Ovis aries: one gene and its partners. Each later gene encodes a partner of the first gene's protein in a complex. Links are inferred from orthologs where the notes say so. Each region holds a gene or a part of one and is shown on either strand. Other genes may lie near its edges. The genes, in order: XAB2, PRPF19 and PPIE.

Region 1 (4,159 bases):
CCGTCAGTGGGGCCACAGGGCCACCCCACCTCGGGTCAGCCCCCCACCACTGTCCTGGGCAGGAGCTAGTGCTGCACTTCCAGTCTCAGCCCCAGCCCTCTCCAGTCCAGGTCCAGCCCTCGCTGGTCTGGGTTAGACACCAGCAGTCCAGCCTGCACAGACCAGGCCTTGCTTTCATCATAAGCCCCCTACCTAAAACAGCACTGCACCAAGGACTTCACGATGCATTAGAGACTATAAATCTGGGGAAACCGCAGGAGGCCTCCATACCATCTGCCCCTCGACTCTCAGCCCTGCCTGTTATGTGTTTATCTCCTGTTCCCTGCCCTCTCACGGTTGCAGATTTACTCTGGTTTACGCAGTCAGGTCACAAGCATTTGTCTGCCAGGTGAGACTGAAAACTCCATGCAAGCAGGGACTGTCTTAGCCACGCTATCCTCAGAACCTGTATCCCAATGCCTGACGTAGAGCGGTTGCTCACAAACTCTCTGGAAATTGAACACAGAACTCACAAATAAAACCCTGTGTGTCTCCACGAGCCATGTTCCCACTTCCTGTCTGTCAGGGCAGACGGTGCCCCCAGTGAGCGCGTTTTTGGAAAGTCCTGACCTAGGGTACTGGCCCACCTGCCTGAACCTGGCCCCATCTTGCCCTTTTAGGGGGCTCACCTTGAGGAAGCGCCGGTAGCCCCGCACGGCAGTCTCAGGCAGGGGGTGTGAGCGCAGGAAGCGCAGGTACAGGGGCCAAATACGAGAGTGCTGGGTGATGGGCAATGCCCGGAGGGCCCGGTCAAAAGTTCGGCGTGTGTGCGTGACACGTCCCTGGTCCATTAGGAACTGGCAGTAATCCAGCCACAGCCGGGGCATCTGGAGGGGTAGGGAGAGGAGGGGCTGAGCTGCCAGCCTCACCACTGGGCCCCAGGATGCTGGATGTCCCCTGCAGCAGGACCCAGAACCACAGTGGCCCTGGAACTAAATCTCACTCAGCCCGGCATGCACAAAGGTCACAGAATTCCCACCCCTGCTCTGTCCACCTCCATGGACTCTGAGCCCCACCTCCCTACTCATTCCCTGGCCCAGCCATGCCCCCTCCCCACCTTGTGCATGAACACAAAGGCCCTCTCATGGCAGTTGTTGACATCTTCATAGGCGGGGTCGGTCACACAGCGATGCTTCACCTGCGCCCGGCGGGCCTTCAGGTAGCGGTACCAGAGTTTGTAGCTGGGAGTTGGAGGGAGGGGCAGTGACTGGTCAGCTTTTATGGACTCCCAGGACCCTTCCCTCTGCCCTATGAGACAAGTGCTAGGAGCAGGGGCCTGGGGAGAATGGCCAGGACATCAGGGAAGGTGTGCTCGGCAATTCCTGGGATGTCTACTCGCTGACACAACACCTAAGAGGGACCTGGGACCTACTAGCCAGTTCTGGTGTGATGGGATAAGATAGGGTGGGGCAGGGGGCGGGGGCAGGCAGGGCAGCTGCTGCCAATCTCACCTGCAGGGCAGCAGCTTGAGCGCCCGCTCATACAGCTGATTGAGCCTGGGCTTGGGGGCCCCCTGCTTGAACTCGATGTAGCGGAGCCAGCACTTGACGGAGAACTGGTTCCGCATGATCTCCTCCTCATAGGGGAGGTCCTCTTCCTCCTGCCAGGGCCGGGGTGTGGAGAAGGGACAGACCTGCTCTCAGAGCCTGCGCACAGCACCACTCCTACTGGGACCCCGACCCAGGTCCCAAATGCCACTGCTCACCCCTGGAGCCCAGTCACCTGGATACCAGGACTATGGACCAGATTTCTACCTCTCAGAATCTGATGACCTACAACGTGACCCAGACTATCAGACTCCTCGGTCACCGGGTTCCAGGCCAGGCATGAAACTATCACCCAGATATCACTCTCTTGGCCTTCCGAATCAAGCTATCCACTTTCTGGCCCAGGTCACCAGACTCTACAGACACCAAGGTTCTGGTCCAACGCTAGGCCTCCGCCCTAGTCACCAAGTCTTACCTCCTCAGAGCATGACTCCCCAGACACCAGACCTTTGGCATCTCAGGCTCCCACCAGCCAGTTTAGCTCAACTCTCCCCCAGAAGTTGGAAGCTAGATCCTTATCTCAGGAAGAAAGGTATGGACAAGTTCCCTAGCCTTTAACTCGAGACATCAAGAATAAATCTAGTGAAAATGCCACGCCTCTACTCCAAACACCAAGACTGACTCTCCAGGATTCTACTGGCCGTCGCCCACTCAGCTCCACATAACCAGGTCTTTACTTCTTTTCCCAAGACTCTCCCGGTCCAGACACCATGCCTTTATCCCAGAAACTACAACGCTCAGGACCAGACCTGGACCGTTACCCGGAACATTTAGATTTTACCAATGAAACCTGGACTAGTCACCATACTTTTACTTCAAACACCAGGCCTCTCAAAGTTTAGCTATAGGAATTTCCGTTCCCGCCCACACCCCGCGCGCTCCCATTTCCGCCCCAGATCCGGGATGCCAGCCCCTTAACTTCGACCATTTGCTCTTTACTGAGGTCACCTGGGCTCCGGCACCAGATCTTTGCTCCTGACCAGCCTGGTCCAGACATCACGAGCCGGTCTTCGGCCCGTAAGGGTCCTCCTGCTCTCAGACCGGCACAGTTTTAGCCTAAATACCCCAAGTGGCCAAGCCCCAATCCCCTGAGGTATCTAACCCCCGGTGCCCCTATGAATGCCACCCCCGGCCCGCCGCGGACTCACGAAGACAAGGTCCGGTCGCTCGGGCCTCGAGAGCCGCGCCATCACCACCATTTTCCAGGCTCTCCAGGTACGGACAGGAGTCGCGGTATGATGACGTCTAGGCCTAAAGGCCTGCTCTCTCGACCCAAACTAATTTCCCATTGGCTGAACTCTTCCCGATCATGCGCCAGGTGTTGTTGACTTTCCGTTCGACCACCCCAGCTACCGGAAGCAGAGGCGAGCGCTCTAAGATGACGTCATCACGAAGCTACTTGGACCAATCAACTTTAGCAGTGGAGCCCGCCGACTCCCAATGACCTACTGTCTTGTTGGGCTGTTGGCTTTGGGCGGAAGCGGCTGTGAAGCCTAAGAGGAGGAACATGGGGGTGAAGCTTGAGGTGTTTCGGGTCAGTGAGCAATGGAGCGGTCGGAAGGCTGGGCGCGGGGTTCTTCCTGGATGAGGAGAAGGCTCAAAAGGGAGGCCTCCGAGAGAGGGGCTCTGGGGCGAAAGCTCCATTGATTTGAAAGGGACCTTTACAGTTGGAGACGTAGAGGAGGGGGCTCTGGGTTGGGGGCTCTGGGTTGGGGGCTCTGGGAGGGCAGGTGTGAGGAAAGCCCTCTGAGAGATGTGACCTGGGAAGGAGGCTCTAAGAAGGAAGACTTCAGGCTCTGGCGGAGCTCTCTGGTTTACAGTGGGTGTGCGTCTTTCTCCTAGACCGACTCCTAGACTCCGAAGAATGAGTTCTGGGTCTGAGGGCGCTCTGGAATCTCGCTGGGGGTGGTTTGAGGTCTCAGAGAGATGCCTTTATTGTACGAGTTCTTCTGCCCCGGGGCCAATATGTCTGTCTTTCTTTGAGAAAGAGTCTTTTAGACTCGGAGGGGGCTTTCGAGGTGGGGGGTGACTCTTGGATTCTGGGGACTAGACTTCAAGGTGTGTGACTTCTGCACCCTTGCTGGGAGTTTTGGGGTTCTGGAGGGTCCTGAGGAAACACCTCTGGTCTCGGCCAGAGGATGGTTTTCCCGACTCTGAGCAGCCGCTGTACAGTAGGGGTGGAGGCGGGGATGGTAATTCCTGACTACTCATCCCTCCCCTTCCCTTCCAGATGACCATCTACCTCACCTTCCCTGTGGCTATGTTCTGGATTGCCAATCAGGCCGAGTGGTTTGAGGACTATGTCATACAGCGCAAGGTGGGCATCAGTTCATTCCAAGGGGTGGGGAAGGGTATGAGGGAGCAGGGTCAGCCTCCCCTGAGCCGACCCCGCCCTGGATGCGGGGCTCTGGAGGCTTTTGGCTTGTGACTCCATCTATGACTTTGTCCCTACAGAGGGAGCTGTGGCCCCCTGAGAAGGAGGACCAGGTAAGCATGTAATTTTCCTCCCACCGGAGGGGGGAGGGGCCTGGATTCCTGTGGCCATGATGGGACCCTCAGTCGTGGGCAGGGAA
Region 2 (4,207 bases), on another chromosome or scaffold:
ATCCCACCTGCCAAGGGGCAACTAAGTCTGCGCTCTGCAACTAGGGAAGCCACTGTAATGAGAGTCCACACACCATAACAAAGAGTAACCCCTGCTTACTGCAACTAGAGAAAGCCCTCTCACATCAGTGAAGACCCAGCGCAACCAAAAATAAATAATAAGTTCTTCGAAATAAATTATTATAGCTATCCCAGAGGGACTCAGAGGAAAATTACAGGGTGCTGTGGGGACTAAAATTCAGTCAGGGGTCAAGAAAAGAGACTCCAGAGGAAGTGCTATTTAGGGTGAGATTGGATTTACTTTGGAAAGGATGGGAGGGGTGGGGAGAAGGGCAGGGATTGAGGAAAGTGTTCCAGGTGAAGGATCTGGAACCAGAGTGGATAAGTTTGAGGGCTTGAAAGGCCAGTGTGTCCAAGAAGCAGATGACTTGCCCAAAATCACAGAGCAAATTGGTAGTAGGGGCAAGACCAGAAGAGTTTCTTAGCCAGTGTTAGCTTCTCTACCCATGTGTATCTTCGTCTTCACTGGGTCTTCCAAAGCTAATCCTCTGAGAAACACTTGCCAGAGAAACACATGGGGCACGAACTGAAAATGCAGACTCTCTAAATGAGACCCCAGAAAAATGCATTTTTAAAAGTTCCTTAAGAAATTCTTACAGAAACTAACATAACATTGTAAAACAATTATCCTCCAATTAAAAATAAATTAAAAATTTGAAAATAGAATAAAAAATTATGGAGTACTCAAAAATAGACATAAAATATGCAAAACCACTATGGACAATAATATAAAACTATACTGAAAAAATATTACAGAAGACCGCTTCCCTGGTGGCTCAGACGGTAAAGTGTCTGCCTGCAGACAGGGAGCCCCGGGTTCGATCCCTCGGTTGGGAAGATACCCTGGAGAAGGAAATGGCAACCCACTCCAGTACTCTTGCATGGAAAATTGGGTGGACTGAGGAGCCTGATAGACTACAGTCCATGGGGTTGCAAAGAGTCGGACACGACTGAGCGACTTCACTTCACTTCAAGTAAATCAAAGTATACCATGCTCACGAAATAAAAGACTAATAGCATTAAAAATAAAAAAAAATTCTCATATACTCCAATATTTGCAAGACAGTCGTTCCACCGCCCCTGGCTCAAGAGTGCAGCTAAATTGATTGGCTTTAAGGTCCCAGTGCATTAAGGGAAATGTAGTTTCGAATCTCCTCTCCCAGCCATTGGAGCTTTACGAAACTAGCCGAGAGGGCCCGGAAATAGCCGAGTATTTCCTGGCGCGCCCTTTCCTGCCTGATTGCATTATGGGAAAGGACAGTTTCCGTTAAATTCTGGAGGCTGAGGCGCGCGACTGGCCACAGTCCCACGTGAAGCCATTCGCAAGCATCGCTCCGCGGGGCAGCTCCCCGCTCGCAGCGGAGCGTCTGGAAGCAGCGAGGGAACTGGAAGTGTCCCGCGGGGGCCCAGTAGCTGATCCCGGAGTCCAGTGTGAGGAGCCTCGGAGTGCAGCGAGGGCGCCATGTCTCTGATCTGCTCTAGTGAGTATCGGCTGCGGCCGCTCGCGGGGCGCTGGAGGCCGGAGAGCTGAGCGTGAGGATCTGCGCGCCTCTGCGGCGCCGGGGTCGGGGCTGGACCTGAAAAACGGGGCTCCGGGGAGGCAGGGCGGCGGCCTGTCAGCCCGGGGGGGTCTTCCTCCTCCAGCGTGAGGTCAGTTTGCGCAGCGCTTCATAGTTTACATAACGTCTCCGGTGCATTCTCGCAGGCTGCACAGAGGCAGCCCATCTCGTTTGCGCAGTGGATATGAGGCTTGGATAGCGGGGAGCTGGTGGTGCAGGGGAAAGAGCTCTCTGTAGGAAGCAGGAAGCCAGAGGGCTTGTGCAGGATCCGCCTCCAGCTGGCTTTGTGATCTGGCTCCGGGATGCGGTCCTCAGTTTCCCCAACTGCAAAAATAATGGCCTTGGCACTGGATGTGTTGTCTGAGGCCCCGCTTGGGTAGGCAGCGCTTCTGCAGTTTGCGAAGATCGCACAGTGAGTTGGAGGCGGTGACAGGCCTGGGAGCCAGACCAGCCTCACCCTGTAGGGCTGATGAAAACAGCTGCACATTTGGAAAAGCCTCTGTTGGTTTACAGCGTGCTTGCAAAACTGCAGAGTCGTTCTGTCCCCACAGCAATTCTCCAAAGCAGAAATAAAGATCCGGTTTTACAGATAAGGATGTAAGGTTCAAGGAGAAATGTGGCTTTTGTAAAACAGTACAGCTAGTTAGTGGCAGAGCTGTGTGACGAAGCCAGTTTCTCTGATCCTGAATCCATGCTTTTTTCAAATGCTTTGTCCTGTCTTTTGGATATGTTATTGAGGAGAGTGGTTGTTCATCAGGTTATTAGTTTCTCATTCTTTTCTCTCTCGGCTTCCTAACTCTCGAGCTCTTGACTCTTCTCAGAACCTCCCCATAAATCCAAAATAAAGGAGAGAAAGAGTGAAGGGAAATGTGACTAGAAAAAGAGTCCTTAAGCGTTAAAGAAATGACAGTGTGCAGAGTATTTTCACATTCATTGTTTCAGTCCTGAGGAAGGTCTTTTCAGTATCCATCAGCTGGTCTGTTAGATGTTTCCTGAGCATTTGCCAAGCACCTGCATTGTACTGGAAGTCAGAGAGCAGCTACAGTCCCAATCCTCAGGGATGTAAATGGATACTTCTGTTGGGGAGTGGTGAGGATGATTTCATCAATGGAAAGTGTTTACAGTGGAGCTTGGCGCCTAGTAAACACCATGTAAATACTTTGTTATCATAGCACTTGTCACATCGGTTTGTAATGTGTCCGAGAATCCATCTAGGTCCTAGTCTGAGACTTGAATGGCTTTGTGTGTATCTTCTTGTCCTGCTATATAATGGGTGCCTAAGCGTTTTTGTTCAGAAATGAGATGGGCAGGAATTATTGACTGCTCCCTAGGTGCCTAGCATTTAGTAGTTGTGCAGCAATTATTTGTTGACTACCTAACTGTCAGAGACTGATGGAGAAGCTAGTTAAGTGGCTGGAAAGCATTGTGGGTACAGTCCAAAACTGGCTTGGTGTCATGTCTTGATTCCTGTTAGCTGAGTGTAGGGAGCAAGGTCTTGTGGAGGCCAGCCGAAGGTGAAGCGTCCCCTTGGCCCAGGGTCCCTGTCACCACCCCAGGCTCACCACCTGCCTTTTCTCCGCAGTCTCCAATGAAGTGCCAGAACACCCCTGTGTGTCCCCCGTCTCTAATCATGTGTATGAGCGGCGGCTCATTGAGAAGTATATTGCAGAGAATGGCACAGATCCCATCAACAACCAGCCTCTGTCCGAGGAGCAGCTCATTGATATCAAAGGTGCCTGCTGGCCAGCCCCAGTCCAGGCTGTCCTAGCCTAAAGCCTGGGAAGGTGGGAAGGGTGGCGGGTGCATAGCATGTGGGAGCCAGGGGAGGAAACGGTGGTCTGTTAGTGCTGAAGGGGAAAGAAAGAATGTGGGAGGGCCAGCATGCCCTAGGTCATGGGTTTTCACACCCACTTTGTCTCTCTTGGCAGTTGCTCACCCAATCCGGCCCAAGCCTCCCTCAGCCACCAGCATCCCAGCCATTCTGAAAGCCTTGCAGGATGAGTGGGTGAGTCCCCGAAGAGAATTTATATTTTCGCGACTTGAAAAGAAGGGATCACTGGACTAGGACATGGGTGGGGATGGGAGGGATGGAGCCTTATTTTCTGTTTTGAGGGGAGGGTGAGAGCAGAGAAGCCTGGTTCTTAATGTCACACAGATCTGGGCTCCACCCTTTGCTCCGTTGCCCACTTGCCACGTCCCTTGGCAAGTATCCAAGTGCTACTTTTCCTGACCATATTGCATGGATTAGTACCTGTCTCAGGGTTTACAGAGACTCAGAGTAAAATTAGAGTATGAGCTTCATGGTGTCAGGGACTTGTTTTACTCATTAGAGCCCCAGCAGTGAGAACCAGGTTCACAGCAGGTGCTCTAAATATGAATGAGTCAAAGACTGCATCTTGAGGACTGCCTGGCTCAGTGCCTGACGCAATGAGAGCAGTCAATAAACAGCAGCTGTAGTGTTTTTATTCCTTTCTGGTGAGGTGACGGCATGACGCCGGAGATGTGCCGGTAAATTAGAGAAGACGGGTGGGAAGAGCCCTTCCTGTCTGTGTGCCCAGGGTTTGGCACGGTGAGGAGCTTAGGAGCATC
Region 3 (3,643 bases), on another chromosome or scaffold:
GATGAGAACCCATTCAAGCCATCAGCCAGCTGCTAAGTAGGTACTCTGATCAGCGAAGCAGAACATACTTTGTGACCCTCTCGGCCAGAGGTCTCCACTTTGGGAAGTCACATGTGTCAGGCAAGCTCCCATCTTTTAGAGACTGCCAGCCCTGAAGCCCAGCTCTTGTGTGTGTTAGTCGCTTAGTCGTGTCTGACTCTTTGCGACCCCATGGACTATAGCCTCCCAGGCTCCTCTGTCCATGGGATTCGCTAGGCAAGAATACTAGAGTAGGTTGCTATTTCCTTCTCCAAGCTCTTAGCAGGGCAACATGAAAAGGCTATGCCCCAGAGAAAGGTGCAGCCCTTGCCAGTCCCAGCCCCTGATGGAACCTGCCAGGAATGTTGAGAAAACTGGGACAGATGAGAGATCAGGCATGGCTTCTCTCATAAAGGAAACAATTACCCTGGTGTGGCTGAGAAGCTCACACTCTTTATTTCCCCACAAAAGTGGCACATGTCCTTTGCCAATGTAAACCATTCTCTACTACTGTCTGCCAGAGAAGCATTCAGTGCCTCCTTTCAAGAAAACTGGGACAGGAAGGCAAGCAAGGCCAAACTGGAGGGTGTGATGGGGCATCTGTATTACTCCCACTCACCTGGTCTAGAAGAGCCTTCCTTAATCCTCATGGGTTTTGCCAAATTGACACGAATTGTCCGTCCAAAGAGCTCAGATTCATTCTGAAAAGTGTGAAAATCCATTTGCTTAAACTGTTAGGTTAAAAGAAAGTCAGACACTTTCCATTTACTTCTGATGCATGAGACAAACTCATGATTTGTTCTCCCTTAATCCCTGATCCCCTAACAGCAAGTTATGCACGTGCCACAAAACAGCCTGTGGGCTGCAGAGAATTTCCTCCTGGGAGCCATCATACAGTTCCTTTCTCCTTTCCTTCAAATTTATTAGTTCCTTATTTGGCTGCATTGAGTCTTAGGTGCAGCACATGAGGTCTCTGTTGTGGCCCATGGACTCTCTAGCTGCAGTACAGGCTTAGTTGCTCCATGGAATGTGGGATCTTAATTCCTTGATCAGGGACTGAATCTGCATCCTCTGCACAACAAGGCGGATTCTGAACCCCTGGGCCACTAGGGAAGTCCCTTTCTTTTTTAAAATTTAAGCATAGTTGATTTACAATGTTTTGGGTGTACAGTGAACTGATTCAGTTATACATTATATATATATATGTCAGATTCTTCTCCATTATAGGTTATTAGAAGATATTATTATAGATTAGAAAATATTATAGGTTATTAGAAGATAGGTTATTCTCCCATTATAGGTTATTAGAAGATATTAAATAACAGGTTCCCTGTGCTATACAGTAGGACCTTGTTGTATATCTAGTTTATATGCAGTAGTATCTGACCTCCTTTCTTTCAATACTAATAATGACCTCTGCTAACAAAAGTGATGCTGTGTTCAGAGTACTCGGAAATTATAAGGATAAATGCAATTTCCAAGTACCTGAGTTCATTTTCAAAAGTCAAGGTCAGCCTTGAGCAATGAGAAGTGATCTCGCTCTGAGAGCTGAGGAAAACATTTGATGAATGGGAAACAGAGAACAGGAATGAAGTAAAGCCTCATTACCCTAAGATAACTGGTACCAGTAAAGGTCACTCAATGTGAAATGACTTAATGACAGTGAAGAAAATTTCATGGTTTAAAATGTGAAGGGGGAAAAAATTGGGAATGTACTGTGATGAAACTAATTAATGAAAATAAATTTCTTATACTTAAAATTCAGCTTTTAAACTATGGCCTAATTTGAAGAACAGACATATAATGGATGTTTATACATCTGCAGTATTTTTTCCAATAAAATCCTATCAACAGTATGATTATCTTTGCATTTCTTATCTGATGTGAAAATCCTAAGTATCCTGAAGAGGGAACACACACTCCAGAGCTGCATCATTGCCCCAAGGAGCCCTCCAGGCTGTCCCAATCACTTGGATCAGCAGCACATCCTATCATCCTTATCAAATTTCTCTTCTCAACTGTTAACCGGTCTAACACTTCATGCAACCCTGTCACTTTTGTAAAATATGCAATTTCACTGTGCAATTATTTTGCATTGTTTGCAATTTCTTAACCTAGACATAGGCAGCCAGTGAGTGACTGGTCAACAAGGATGATTAGCCTTTACGTTATTATCAAACGGAGAAAGATATCTGAGAAAGGACAATTTCATAAGTGATCAATTCACAGTGAATATTTTCACACGATGACAATTTGTATGTACTTCCTCATGCAACCTTGTAACTTTGGAGGTTTGGCAAACCGAATGTAGAACTAAGTGCCCTCTGTATCACCAAAAAGCAACTTCTGTAAGAAGCAGGATTCCCAGCCTTACCATGTTGTCAATAGCTGCTGCAGCATCCTGCCAAAAAAAGACAAGGTACGAATTTAGGTTTGCAGTCAAATGCTTCTTGTAGTGTCTAAACACATACTTGGTAAAATGACAACAAAAAAACAATCCAACAGAAAAAGGTCTCTTTTTCTTCCTCACCTAGGTTGCACGGGTCTAACAAAGTGCACTTCCTGGCTGACTTCAGCTATTTGCCATTTAGTGGAAGACAAAGAAAGTATCACCAGTGCTACCAGGCAAAGATGCTCAATGAGCAGGGCTGCAGGAGTTTCTGCAGAGCAAGAGGGGCAGGACCTAGCAGGTCTGTAATGTTAATCACAGCCCATGGTTTCATTAAGTGAAGGCAGCTTTCCTTCAAACAGTGTTTCTCATCTCTCCGGAAGCATCAGCATGAGGCCCCAAAACCCAACCCCAAATGAAGAACAGCTCCCTTTGTAATCAGTAACAATAATAACAAGCCAAAGACTTAACATAGATAACAGAATTTTCTCACCTCTGCCAACTCAAATTCCACAAAAGCAAATCCTCGGTGCTTTTCTGAAAAAAGGCAGACAATATCAAGCAATTATCATGTTGGGCAATGGGAAGTAGGTGGTCACAAAGAAAGTGAAGTCAGTCACATGCCTTATCCATTTACTAGAATTCTACACCATCACTATTTAGGAAAAACGCATCTTACTCTGATACTTTCTAGTTTAAATAACATTTCAAGCAACATTACACTGTTCTGTAGTGAGTGAAAGTCACTCAGTTGTGTCCGCCTCTTTGTGAACCCACGGACTGTAGCCTGCCAGGCTCCTCTGTCCATTGAATTCTCCAGGCTCGAATACTGGAGTGGGTAGCCTTTACTTTCTCCAGGGGATCTTCCTAACCCAAGGATCAAACCCAGGAAATTATCCCGCACTGCAGGAGGATTCTTTACTATCTGAGCCACCATAGAAGCCCGTTTTGTAGTGAACATAACTAAATAACGAACTATACTTTTAATCTTTAAAAGCAGCATTCTTTTTATTTTTTTTTTTAAAATTTTATTTTTTACTTTATTTTACTTTACAATACTGTATTGGTTTTGCCATACATTGACACGGATCCACCACGGGTGTACATGAGTTCCCAAACATGAACCCCCCTCCCACCTCCCTCCCCACAACATCCCTCTGGGTCATCCCCGTGCACCAGCCCCAAGCATGCTGTATCCTGCACTGGACATAGACTGGTGAGAAAAGCAGCATTCTT

Evidence for each region.
Region 2: XAB2 (region 1) and PRPF19 share a complex: the UniProt entries of both Homo sapiens proteins name them as parts of the XAB2 complex. The link is inferred for Ovis aries from reciprocal best matches to the Homo sapiens genes XAB2 and PRPF19.
Region 3: XAB2 (region 1) and PPIE share a complex: the UniProt entries of both Homo sapiens proteins name them as parts of the XAB2 complex. The link is inferred for Ovis aries from reciprocal best matches to the Homo sapiens genes XAB2 and PPIE.

Annotation. Positions count from the first base shown.
Region 1 is NC_056058.1:14,202,448-14,206,606, forward strand, and holds the start of XAB2 (pre-mRNA-splicing factor SYF1), read right to left. Parts: upstream 2,806-4,159; 5' UTR 2,786-2,805; coding exon 2,735-2,785; intron 1,640-2,734; coding exon 1,491-1,639; intron 1,221-1,490; coding exon 1,097-1,220; intron 867-1,096; coding exon 669-866; intron 1-668. Other genes in the region: protein PET100 homolog, mitochondrial, read left to right, coding at 3,094-3,120, 3,817-3,903, 4,041-4,073. UniProt on the Homo sapiens protein: Involved in pre-mRNA splicing as component of the spliceosome. Involved in transcription-coupled repair (TCR), transcription and pre-mRNA splicing.
Region 2 is NC_056074.1:34,605,804-34,610,010, reverse strand, and holds the start of PRPF19 (pre-mRNA-processing factor 19), read left to right. Parts: upstream 1-1,301; 5' UTR 1,302-1,521; coding exon 1,522-1,540; intron 1,541-3,200; coding exon 3,201-3,350; intron 3,351-3,546; coding exon 3,547-3,623; intron 3,624-4,207. UniProt on the Homo sapiens protein: Ubiquitin-protein ligase which is a core component of several complexes mainly involved pre-mRNA splicing and DNA repair. Required for pre-mRNA splicing as component of the spliceosome.
Region 3 is NC_056054.1:14,378,303-14,381,945, reverse strand, and holds part of PPIE (peptidyl-prolyl cis-trans isomerase E), read right to left. Parts: intron 2,945-3,643; coding exon 2,901-2,944; intron 2,420-2,900; coding exon 2,393-2,419; intron 720-2,392; coding exon 638-719; intron 1-637. UniProt on the Homo sapiens protein: Involved in pre-mRNA splicing as component of the spliceosome. Combines RNA-binding and PPIase activities.